Linked DNA regions of Notamacropus eugenii. The protein of the gene in region 3 purifies or fractionates together with the protein of the main gene of each other region. This does not show direct contact. Links are inferred from orthologs where the notes say so. Each region holds a gene or a part of one and is shown on either strand. Other genes may lie near its edges.

The links.
Region 1: the proteins of RC3H1 (region 3) and FAU purify together in Homo sapiens (affinity purification with mass spectrometry; 3 studies listed by BioGRID, with this or other methods). This does not show direct contact. The link is inferred for Notamacropus eugenii from reciprocal best matches to the Homo sapiens genes RC3H1 and FAU.
Region 2: the proteins of RC3H1 (region 3) and CNOT11 purify together in Homo sapiens (affinity purification with mass spectrometry, with the first as the bait; 4 studies listed by BioGRID). This does not show direct contact. The link is inferred for Notamacropus eugenii from reciprocal best matches to the Homo sapiens genes RC3H1 and CNOT11.

The regions. Positions count from the first base shown.
Region 1 is NC_092873.1:17,821,198-17,824,940, forward strand, and holds the start of FAU (ubiquitin-like FUBI-ribosomal protein eS30 fusion protein), read right to left. Parts: upstream 2,335-3,743; 5' UTR 2,103-2,334; intron 1,908-2,102; 5' UTR 1,900-1,907; coding exon 1,825-1,899; intron 1,727-1,824; coding exon 1,582-1,726; intron 1-1,581. Other genes in the region: MRPL49 (large ribosomal subunit protein mL49), read left to right, coding at 2,415-2,504.
Region 2 is NC_092877.1:174,374,978-174,378,720, reverse strand, and holds the start of CNOT11 (CCR4-NOT transcription complex subunit 11), read left to right. Parts: upstream 1-1,450; 5' UTR 1,451-1,488; coding exon 1,489-1,984; intron 1,985-3,743. UniProt on the Homo sapiens protein: Component of the CCR4-NOT complex which is one of the major cellular mRNA deadenylases and is linked to various cellular processes including bulk mRNA degradation, miRNA-mediated repression, translational repression during translational initiation and general transcription regulation.
Region 3 is NC_092873.1:472,383,266-472,387,008, reverse strand, and holds the start of RC3H1 (roquin-1), read right to left. Parts: upstream 2,664-3,743; 5' UTR 2,422-2,663; intron 2,330-2,421; exon of another isoform or gene 2,244-2,329; intron 1-2,243. UniProt on the Homo sapiens protein: Post-transcriptional repressor of mRNAs containing a conserved stem loop motif, called constitutive decay element (CDE), which is often located in the 3'-UTR, as in HMGXB3, ICOS, IER3, NFKBID, NFKBIZ, PPP1R10, TNF, TNFRSF4 and in many more mRNAs.

The DNA.
Region 1 (3,743 bases), about 450 Mb from region 3:
GAGGGGTGAAATGAGACAAATATAAATCATGAGAATTACATATAGTATTACTTTTAAGCGTTCACAGGGTCAACAAGCAGTCCAATGGGAAAACAGCAGATTCTGGGAAGAAACTAGCCTATAGTTCAAAGCTCCAAAAAGCACCTATTTCCCCACTACTGTTTTTGAGGCCTCCAAAGAGAAAAAAGTCACTAAAACAAACCCTTGAATTGGGTTCATGGGAATTGTTCATGTGGTCAAGTGAATGCCATGAACCACTGCATGATAAACTGATCAAGGGCAGAAAGTACTCTGAGGAGGCAGAAAGTACCACTCGGACTAGAGGGGTAAATATCAGCACATTAAGGACCTCAATGCTGCAAAGATGAGCATCTGCTGGAATTAAAGTGTAGGTAGTATTTGCTTAAATTCCATCAAGATAGGGTACAAATAATACCTGCCTTAGAAACAAAGGATTGAATCACAAATGTGAGGAACAAGAGAAATTACCTTCAGGGAAGGGTCACGATCAAACAAGGAATAAAGAGGTTAAGTGAAGATAAAACGCACAAATTGGATTACATAAATGAGAGGAAGCAATTAACTGGGGGGGTGAGAGGGAATCTGCAAAAAGCCTCATTAACAAAGGCCTTATTACCAAGCTATATAAGGAACTGATACAAATTCACAACATTAAGAACCATACTCCAACTGGTAAAGTGTCAAAAGTTATGGGCAGGCAAATCTCAAGGAATTCAAACTAAAAACTTTCCCCACATCACCAATAATTAAAATGCAAAGTAAAGCCCCTCTGAGGTTCTACCTTACATTCATCAGAGGGGCAAAATTGAAGGGTGATGGGAGAAGAGGCACAATGGACCTGTGAGTTGGTCCAGCCAAACTGGAAAACAATTCATTTAGGGTTAGTTATGCCCCGCAAATGCAAGCCCTTTGGCCCAAAGAGATCTATACTAAGCCTAGATACGATGATATAAAGAGACCTTTTTATACAAAAATGATCCAAAGTAGCTTTTCGTGGTGGCAATGCCCTAGAAGCGAGGCATGGCTGAACAAATCTATGGGACGTGAATGTAACACAATGCTACTATGCTTTAAGAAGTTAAAAATGGATTCAGAACTTAGAACTGATGCAGAGTGAAGTAGGTTGGTCGGTTGCGCCCAGGACCGAAATGACATCACTATGCCAGCGGCAAATTTCATTATATCTGACCAGACCGATACAAGCTTGGAAGGCTCCGGCACAGGTCGGGCACAAATGGCCCATGTGCACATTTGGGGTGAATTCTCTAAATCTGTGCACCATGCCTTCTTTGCTGAGAGCACAGCAGCTTCTCTGATGCGCCGCAGCCCGTTCTGGGCCAGCGTCCCCCAGGTCACACGGTGACTTGCAGAACGAAATAAACAGAACCAGACGCTATCACTTGCTTTGTAAAAGTAACGACTCTAAATCAATCACCGCTCAAGAAGGAGCTGGGCGGACAGCGAGGTGTGACCGCGGGCAGATCCACGTCATCTCTGTTAGACGGGGCAACGATGCCTCCCGGCCAGGTCCGCACGGAGGCTCAAAAGCCAGTCCCTTACCTCCTAGCATCCGGCCGGCCACTTCCAGGGTGCACAGGGGCTGCACCCCGCACTGGCCCAAGATGGCTTCATCTTCCAGCGGCGAGCCCCCTAGAAGCAGGACCTGGTCCTCGGGGGCGATGCCCTCCAGGGACGCCACATGGGCCTGGAAGACAGAGAACCACCGGGCTCGGGGCCGCCCGCGGCCTGGGAGGATCCATCCCTCCCTGCCTCCCCCCAGCGCGGCGGCCCGGCCTCGCTTACCTTGATCTGGGCGACGGCCTCCTGCCCGGTCACCTCGAGGGTGTGCAGCGCCTGCGCGCGGACGAACAGCTGCATAGCGGCGACTGTGGGGGCACAGAAGCGGGGCTGAGGCCCGGGGCGGGGGCGAGCGGCGCTCGAACGGGCACAGGCCCGGGGAGGGAAGAAGGGCTGAGGCCTGGCCGGGGAAGGGCCGGGCCGGATGACCGCCCCGCCCTGGACTCGGGGGACGCCTCGTGCCTCGGCCTCCCCGCTTCCCTGGCCTGGGGTCGCGCACTTACCTCGGACGCGCTAGTCCTGCTTCCGTCGCGGAGAAGATGGAGCCCAGAAAGAGAGGGCGGAGGCGAGCGCGCGCACGTTAGTCGCAACACGCCGTCGGCGTGATTGCGTAAGGGACGCGCACGTCCCCTTTAGCCAATCGGAGCGATCGTAAGAAGGAAGGGCGGAGGAAGTCGCGCGTTCGAGCCGGGGTTGACCCGAGGGAAAGGGAGGCAGGGCCCGGCTCCGCGTGCTTCGGCGCCTGCGCGAGGAGGGCAGTGGGCGGGGCTAGAGAGGAGGCGGAAGTCCTTACCCAGGCTGAAGGGTGCTGCGGTATGGCGGCAGCGGTGGTTGTATCGTACCTGCGTGCCGGGCTGAGGGCTGGCGGGCGGCGAGGACGCCCGGCCTGCGGACTCCGCTGGCAGGTGAACGCGGCCTCGCCTGTGTCTGGGGGGAGGGAACCCTGTCGAGCAGTCTGATCTCTAAGCGTCGTTTTCAGCCCCGAGCGTCAGAGCCTCTTCTCGGGCCCCGAGGTTCAAGTGGGGAATCTGAGGCCCTGAGAGGCCCGGGCCTGCTGACCCCTGACCCTTAGCATGTCGGCTCTGGAAAGGACCCCCGAGACCCACAAAGGCCGAGATCACGCCGGGGAACCGCGGTGCAGCCGCGCTTGAACCCTTACCGGGTCCTCTTTCCAGCACACCCGGCACGCAGTAGGCACCTAATAATTGCTGCCTGGCTGCGGCCGACTTTGGGGGTCCAGGACCCCCCCGGCCTCGGTTTCCCGCTTTGTGAAACAAGGGGCTGCCCCCTACCCAGTGTCGGGGCCCTGGGGGCGCTGCCGCGGGGTCTCGCGTGGAGTTTCCCGGGACCCACCTCGAGGGGCCAAGCCGGGAGGTGGGGGTGGGGGGGTGTGCGTCCTCGAGGCGGGCGGGCCGCGCCGCCACCCTCCGACCCTTACCCAATCACCGTAGCGATGTCAGAGGCCGAGGGACCACCCCCCATTGAGTCTGTGCCCCTGGGGCCCGGCCCAGTGCTGGGGACTCCGCCGGCCATCAGTGACATGGAGGCGCCGACCCCGAGAAAGGGGTCCTCCGAATGGCCAGATCTTCCAGGTGAGAAGCCTCGGGAGAGGAAGGTCTTCCAGGGGAGTGACGGGTAAAGAAATCTGGGGAGTCAGGAGCAGGGCCTGGAGGAGAGGCCGGTGAGGAGCTGACCCAGACTCCCCGGGGTTCCCTGCCTCCAGATGCCCTCCAGGCTGCGCAGGCTTGGTGGGTCCTTGGCCGAGTGAGCCCGGGCTAGGGAGGCCCCTGCCGGGGTCCAGGCCTGAGGCCATGAGCCTGGAGAAACTGAGCCTTCCTCTTGTTTGCTACCTCTGGTCACAACCATTAGAAAATAAGGGAGAAAACTGGGATTCATCAAAAGTCACTGAAACTAAACTGACTGGCAGTGGGGGTGGGGGGAGGCTTTTCCTTTCCAGGGACCAAGCCTGGTTCCCCCAATTATACAGCATGGTTTCTTGTGTTGTTACTCAGGTTTCTGTTCTCGTGGCATCTTCCCCTCGGCATCCTCCAAGTCTCGCACATCTTCCCTCCCTCCCTTGTTACTTGGCCACTCTAAAAGGTGGTCTGGCTATTTTGGTGCTACTGGGGCTTTCAGGGCTGTCC
Region 2 (3,743 bases), on a different chromosome or scaffold from region 3:
TTGGGGGTTGCCTGGGACAGACTGAGACCTGGGAAAGACCTTAATTAAAAAAGGCCAAGATCTCCCACTACATCAGGGGCCACCGCCAGTCATTTGGCACTGGACCCAGAGGGCTCTGGAGGAGAGAATGGGGCTGGTGACTTTGCGCAGCCCTGTCTCACTTCAGTCCAACTCCCTTGCAACAAAGGACAAACCACTTATCCTGTATGGCTTATTTGCATATTTTCCCCATTAGATTGTGAGCTCCTCACAGCCAGAAGTCTTTTGCCTCTTTTTGTATCTCCAGAGCTTGGCACATAGTAGGGGCGTAATAAATGTCCTGACTTTGACAAAGCAGCTAAGCTCTCTGCGATTCAGATTCCTCATTTGTAACATGGGAATAACGCCTGCTGCACAGGGTTTGTGGGGAGGTTTACTGAGGTCACATTTCTTGCCTCCAACTCAGGGCCTCAAGAGGTCTGTGTAACGGTGTCGGCACTGAGCAGGGTGACCTCAGGCTCTCGGCGTCCTTCACTGTAAGATGGGTATAAACCCTCCCAATGCCAGTGTAGGAAGCTCCAGGATCCAGCTGTCATTAATGAAGGAGGGCCATCCGCAAGCCTCACAACAGCGTGTAAGAGTGAGCCGGTGGCAGAGTTTAGCTCCAGCTAGGACCTGGTTCTCTCAAAATTAACGCATTTTCCCCAGTTGCTAGGTGGTGCACCGCAGTCAGGAAGACTAATCTCGTAGAGTTCAGACGCTTACTGGCTGTGTAGCCCTGCTTGTCTCAGTTTCCAATAAGCTGGAGAAGAAAATAGCAAACCAAGAAAACCCCAAATGGGGTCACAGAAAGTTGGACGTGACTGAGCTGACGGAACAGTAAGACAGGAAAAAAAATGACAAATCATTCTTCCAGCCAACAGGGGCGCTCAACTGCGGCTCCACTGGCACACCCAACTGCGCAGCCGCTCTCCTCTTCCCTCGGAATGGAGGAAGTCGTTGATACCAAGGGGCCCGACTCGCCCCCGCCTCTGCCCGAGGCCCCGCCCCTGGTCCCAAACCTTCTCCATTCTTTCCTAAGTCCCACTCCTTCGCCCTCTCTTCCCAGGACCCCGCCTTTTTCTTTCTGGCCTTGCCCCATCTCCTACTTTCTCTCTTCCCAACCAACCTTATCCCCTCTGTTCCATCCCCTCACTCTGAGCACGTCCGTTCCATTACGTAATCTCCCTAGCTCCTCCTCCCCTCCGCCTCTCCGTCTCCTCGATTCCAGCCTGTCTCTCTTCTCTTCCCAGCCGTAGGAGCGATGCTTTACGACACTGTCGTCTAACGGCGGGTCTTTACGGCAGCGACCGGCGGCAGGACGGCAGCGGCCGTGGCAGCGGGAGCGGGAGTTTGGGCGTCAGTGGGGGCGGCAGTGCTGGACGGAAGCGGAGGGGGCGACGGATCCGAGCGTTTAGGCCAGGCCAGGGCCGGGGCGCGGGGCCGGAGGCGGCGGCGGCGGGGGGGTTGATGCCCGGCGGCGGGGGGAGCCCGGCGCCCTGCAGTCTCCTGGCCGCCTCGGAGCCGCGGGGGGGCGAGGAGGCAGCGGCGGCGGGGCCCGGCTCGGGCGGCCCCGGGGGCTCCTCTTGCGGCCCCGGGCTCGGCGGCGCCGGCGGCGGCCCCGGCGGCAGGATGAGTCTGACCCCGAAGGAGCTCTCCAGCCTGCTGGGCATCATCTCGGAGGAGGCCGGGGGCGGCAGCACCTTCGAGGGCCTGTCCAGCGCCTTCCATCATTACTTCAGCAAGGCGGACCACTTCCGCCTGGGCTCGGTGCTCGTGATGCTGCTGCAGCAGCCGGACCTGCTGCCCAGCGCGGCGCAGCGCCTCACGGCGCTCTACCTGCTCTGGGAGATGTACCGCACCGAGCCGCTGGCTGCCAACCCCTTCGCGGCCAGCTTCGCACACCTGCTGAACCCGGCGTCCCCGGGCCGGGGCGGCCAGGAACCGGACAGGCCGCCGCTCTCAGGTACGGAACTGCCACCCGGCCCCGCTCCGGCGCGGAGCGTGTCCTGGGGCGTTGGAGCGTCTCGGGGGCTATCTCGGCAGGTGTGCTAGTGGGCTGTGAGCCTGTCATGGCCCCCCCTTGGCTCTGTGTCCTGGGCGACTGAGCCTGTCATGGCCCCCCTTGGCTCTGTGTCCTGGGCGACTGAGCCTGTCATGGCCCCCCTTGGCTCTGTGTCCTGGGCGGCTGAGCCTGTCATGGCCTCCCCGCCCCCCACCGGTGTTCTCAGCTGGACAGTGAGGAGTTGTGCTGCCCCATCAGGGGCAAAAAAAAAAGTATGCTTCAAAAAGCATTGCTGTATAGTTTTAGGATTTGTCAGTAAGCATTTATTATGTACCTATTTATTAATTACCTATTAGTAACTATCACAGGCACTGAGGATCCCGAAATAAAATGAAGCTTTCAGGGAGCTTGTATTCGTTTGGGAAATTAACAAATGCAAATATAATTAAATATAAAACTTATACAAAGTAACTTCCAGGAGAGTAAGCACTAGCAATCAAAAGGACCAAGAAAGGCTTCTTGTAGGAAGTGGTCCTTGAATTTAGGAGAGTAGAGATTCTGAAAGAAGAGTGGAAGTGACGAGGTTGTAGATTCCATCAATAGGTGGACAGTCTGGAGGTAGAGCATCAGTCTCAGCAAGGAGGTCAGTATAGCTAGAATAAAAAGGAGAAATACGTAACATCTGGAAAGCTAGCTTGTGAAGGACTTGAGTGCCAAAGGGAGGAGTTTTTATTTTAGACTAAAAATAGTAGGGTACTAGTAATAGCTACCCCAGCTTTTTGAGCCAGGGAGTGACATTGTCAGGTCTAGATTTTAAGAATTTCACTTTAGCAGCTGTGTGGAAGTTGGAGTGGAGAAGAATAACTTTTATTTGAGTTAATATGAAACAAATTGGCTCTGCTGTAACTTTTAAGTCCCACGGAGGAATGGATAAACAGGTTAGAGGATTTCAAGAGAATTCTTTTAAAAGTGTACTTGTCCAATTGTGTGTCCTAGTGGAAATAGACCTGGACTAGGAATTAGACCAGTATTCTAATCCAAGCTTGTTGCTTATCTTTGGCACCTTTGACCAAGCTGCTTCACCACTTTGGACTTCAGTTTCCAAATAATTTCCAAAATGATTGAGACTAAGAGACCTCCAAAGTACTTTCTAACCGTAAATATTAAGACCTTAAGTTTGAATAATAAATAGTCTGCTTTTCTAGCCTTATCTCAACCAAGCTGAACTACTTTTTCCCATTCTCTTTCTTGATAGTTTTTATGTAAAGTTTTCAAATCATTTTCATTATCTGTAGTTTTAAGTCTAATCTTCATTCTAAGCATTATATGGTGAGAAGGTAGGGATCATACTCAAGTTCATCTTGTCTAAAGTAGATTACTGCATGCCATATATAAAATGAACAGCTATGTAGCAAGGATAAGGATAGATCACCTGGGGCTAGGTTCAGGTGTTTTCTTTAAGGAAAGCTGCTCAACAGAACCAGGAGAACATTATATACACAGTAATAGCCACAGTGTGTGAGGACTGTTTCCGATACACTTAACCCTTCACAGCAATGCAAGTAGAGCACATAAAAGATTGCATGCTATCTCAGGGAGGGAGGGGGAGAAAAGTTAAATCTTGTGGAAGTGATTCTTGAAAACTGAAAACAAATTGAATTTTCAAAAAAAATGTTTTTAATCCCTCAAAAAAAGGGGGGGGGGGAAACTGGTCAATATC
Region 3 (3,743 bases):
CAATTAATAGATCTAAAATGATTTACTCAGGAAAAAATCATGATTCTGTATCACTCAATATGAAAGTACCAAACTTTAATTCATAATTACTTTGCTCATTTAAGTGCAAATACAAAATTCCTACCATAACTGGCTAAAGTTGTTACTTATCAGGTAAATTATCCCCAGTCTAACACAATTAGATTTTATTTCCAAAGGACTCTAACCTTGTATATTTTTAAACTTGCCTACAGAGAGCAAGAGTGGATAAAGAATTGTCTTTGGATGCAAGGATACCTGGATTTAAGTTCTACCTGACACAGACTAGTTGTGATCAGGAAAGTAAGCCACAACTTCTCATTGTTCCAAGTCACTAAGACTTGAAGTTACAGAGGTGACAGAGTTTGTACCAGTGTAGAGGTGGACCAAAACACAATGACAATAAGATGTGGTACTCAGTACTAGGACCTTAACTGAGATGAAATATATTATGTGAAGGATTTGAGAGGAATTTATCACTTCCTTCAAACGTCTTTCAGTTAACCCGAAAATACTCAGTTGAAAAAGACAAACATAGATTTGCTTTGCAAAACCATACTTACTAGAGCAGGAACTAAACACAAGTGTTCAATGAAAGTAAAAAATACCCACCTTACATTAAGAGGCACAGAATAAGATATTTAGGTCAGGCAAAAAAAAAAAAAAAAGAAGGCAAAAGAGTTATACTTTAAGTCTCCCAAGACCATAGTAAGGAAGCACAGTTTCAAGGCCAATGTAGAACTGCTTTTCCCTAAACTGAAGTATTTCTTCACTGTCCATTCTTCTAAATGCCGATTAGGGATACATACACTGGAAAATAAAATGCTGATTTAACCTTACAAAATGAAAAACACTCTTTAGGCATCAACTTTCAATGACAAGAAGCCTGAGTCCAAGCTGAATTATAATGTTAGAATCCAATAGGTGAAAGGTGTTAGAATATAAATCTTGCCTTTAGGACAGAAATGAGCATTTCTCCTGGGCAGAGGAATGCTTAGAACAATGTTTTCCTTTGATGTATTCAAGCTTCTTGAACATTAGTGCCTACACTCGCAAACTCCAAGCACAAAATATCACAGGGCTCCTTTTTCTTATCCCTATAAATGGATTAAAATGTCTGTGCCCCTAAAAAAATCAGATACGGTGCAAAAGGCAGGTATAAGACAGAACTTTTAGAAAAATGGCACTACAGGACAGAGCAAAAACCGTCATGTTGCCATTTCTGTTGGCAAAATTTTTACTCCAAAAAAATGAATACTTCATTCCTTCACAAAAAAAAAAAATAATCCACCCAAACCAAACATCCAAATTTCCAACCAATTCGGAAAGAGAAAGGTTGGCATTGAATGACTCCAAGCCAAGGACTGAAAAGCAAAATCCTAGCACACTCTGGGGAGCCAGGAGGGCAGGAGCTGTGTTCCTGGGTCTGACCACATGTGTCTTGGAGAGACAGATTCACTGCAGAGAGGGGTTTTGTCCTCTGCCAGATTTCATGGCATTTCTCCTGCCACGCGGGATTATCGTCCAAATGAAGGGGAATCCTATTTACGGGGAATTCGGTGCTTTTTGTTTTGCACACGTGACCGTGCTGCCTCCAGTTCTGTCACTTTAGGACGTAAACAGTGCAGAGACGCCCCAGGAGGGCCCCCTCCCCAGGGCCCGGACGGACGATGGGGGGCAGAGGCAGGCAAGCCCGTCTCTCCCCTTCCCCACCACGCGGGGACGGGCCCAAAGGAAACACCGAGACATACAGACACCCCCCCACCCCGGGTCCGGGGCCCGGCCCAAGCGGGGTTAGCCCGGAGACCCCCTCCCCTGGGGTCGCAAGCTGACCGAGGAGGCGGCTCTTCAGCGCGGCCGCGGGCTTATGGAGGGGCGGGGCATTTCCAGCAGGTCCAAGCAGCCCCCAGCCCCAATCAATCCATCAATCAATCAATCAATTAATCACTCGATCGAGGAGCCGGCGTCCAGGTTTCCCACCATTACCACCGCGGGGTCCTTGGAAACCATCTCGGGCGCGTCCGCAGATGCCCGCCCCGCGGGCAGGGTGGAGCCCGGCCCCGGCCTCCCCAACCCCCCCATCCCCACGGGCGGCGGAGCCACTCGAGGCCGGCGGAGGCCTGAGGCCTAGCGGCGGAGGCCCAGGCCGAGAGCGGAGCCTCCCCGCGCTCGCCGCCGCGGCCCCCATTGTTCCCCTCGCCCGCGGCGGCCTCCTCCTCACTCACCGCGCCGGTCCGAGCGGCAGCGCCTCTCAGCTCCGGGCCCCCGCGGCCGCCGCCGCCGCCGCCGTCACGGTCCCCGCCGCCGCCGCCGCCCCCGCCGCCGCCGCCGCCACCGCCGCCTCGGACCCGGGCCGCCGGGCCACGGCCCCCGCCGCCGCCAGCGCCGCCTCCCGGCTCCCACCTGCTGCTGCCGAGGCCGCTCCGGCAGCAGGGGCCATCTTGTTGGGCAGCCTCTTCCTGCGCCGCCGCCGCCGCCGCCTCCCCGCCGCCCGGGGTCCTGGGCGCCTTCCTCTTCCTCCTCTTCCTCCTCTTCCTCCTCTTCCTCCTCTTCCTCCTCCTCCTCTCTCCCGCGGTAGACGCCGCAGCTGCCCCTGCCCGCCGCCGCGGCTCTGGGCCGAGACCCCGCCGTGGCTCCTCCCCTTCGGAAGGGAGGAGGACGAGGAGGGGAGTGGAGGGGAAAGAGGAGGGGGGAGGGGCGGGGAGGAGAGAGCAGGGAGGGGCGGGGAGGAGGGAAGAGGGAGGGGCGGGGAGGAGGGAGGGGCGGGGGAGGTGAGAAGAGGGAGGGGCGGGGAGGAGGGAGGGGCGGGGGAGGTGAGAAGAGGGAGGGGCGGGGAGGAGGAAGGAGGGAGGGGCGGGGGAGGTGGGAGGAGGGAGGGGAGGGGAGGAGGGAGGGACGGGGGAGGAGAAAAGAGGGGAGCGGGGAGGAGGAAGAAGAGAGGGGCGGGGGAGGAGGGAGGAGGAGGGAGGGGCGGGGAGGAGGCGGGGAGGAGGCAAGAGGAGGGAGGGGTGGGAGGAGGCAAGAGGGGGGAGGGGCGGGGAGGAGGAAGGAGGGAGGGGCGGGGGAGGTGGGAGGAGGGAGGGGCGGGGAGGAGGGAGGGGCGGGGAGGAGAGAAGAGGGGAGCGGGGAGGAGGAAGGAGGGAGGGGCGGGGAGGAGGCAAGAGGAGGGAGGGGCGGGGAGGAGGTAAGAGGAGAAGATAAAGGGAGGGAGGAGGAGGAAAGACAAGGAATGGGGAGGGGAGAGAGAAAGTAGGAGGGATAGAGAGAGGGAGGAAATGAGGAGGGGAAAGAGGAGAGAGGAGTAATGGGGCAGGAAGAAAAGCAGGAAGGAGGAGGGGGAGAGGAGAGCAAGGGAAAAGGAAGGAGACGAGATAGGAGTGGGGAGGGACAAACGGAAGGGAGGAGGGAGGGAAGTGGAGAGAGTAGGGGGAGTGGAGGAGGCCTTGGGGAAGGAGAGAGAACAAAAGCACCGAGGCCCCGCGTCCGGGCAGCCGAGACCCGGTCTCCCTCGGACACACCCGAGGCCGGGCCCCCCGCCGCGACTGCCGGGACCTAAGGGTCCAGAGCCAGGTGGAAACTTGGACGCGTGTGCTGGGACTTTTAAAGCTCGCCCCAGTGGTGCCAGCCGCTCCCCCGCCGGGGTCCCGGGGCACCCCTCACCCAATTCCTCCTGGGCCCCTCCGCACCCGGCGCCGGGACTCCGAAGCCGGAGAGTTGGGCCGGAT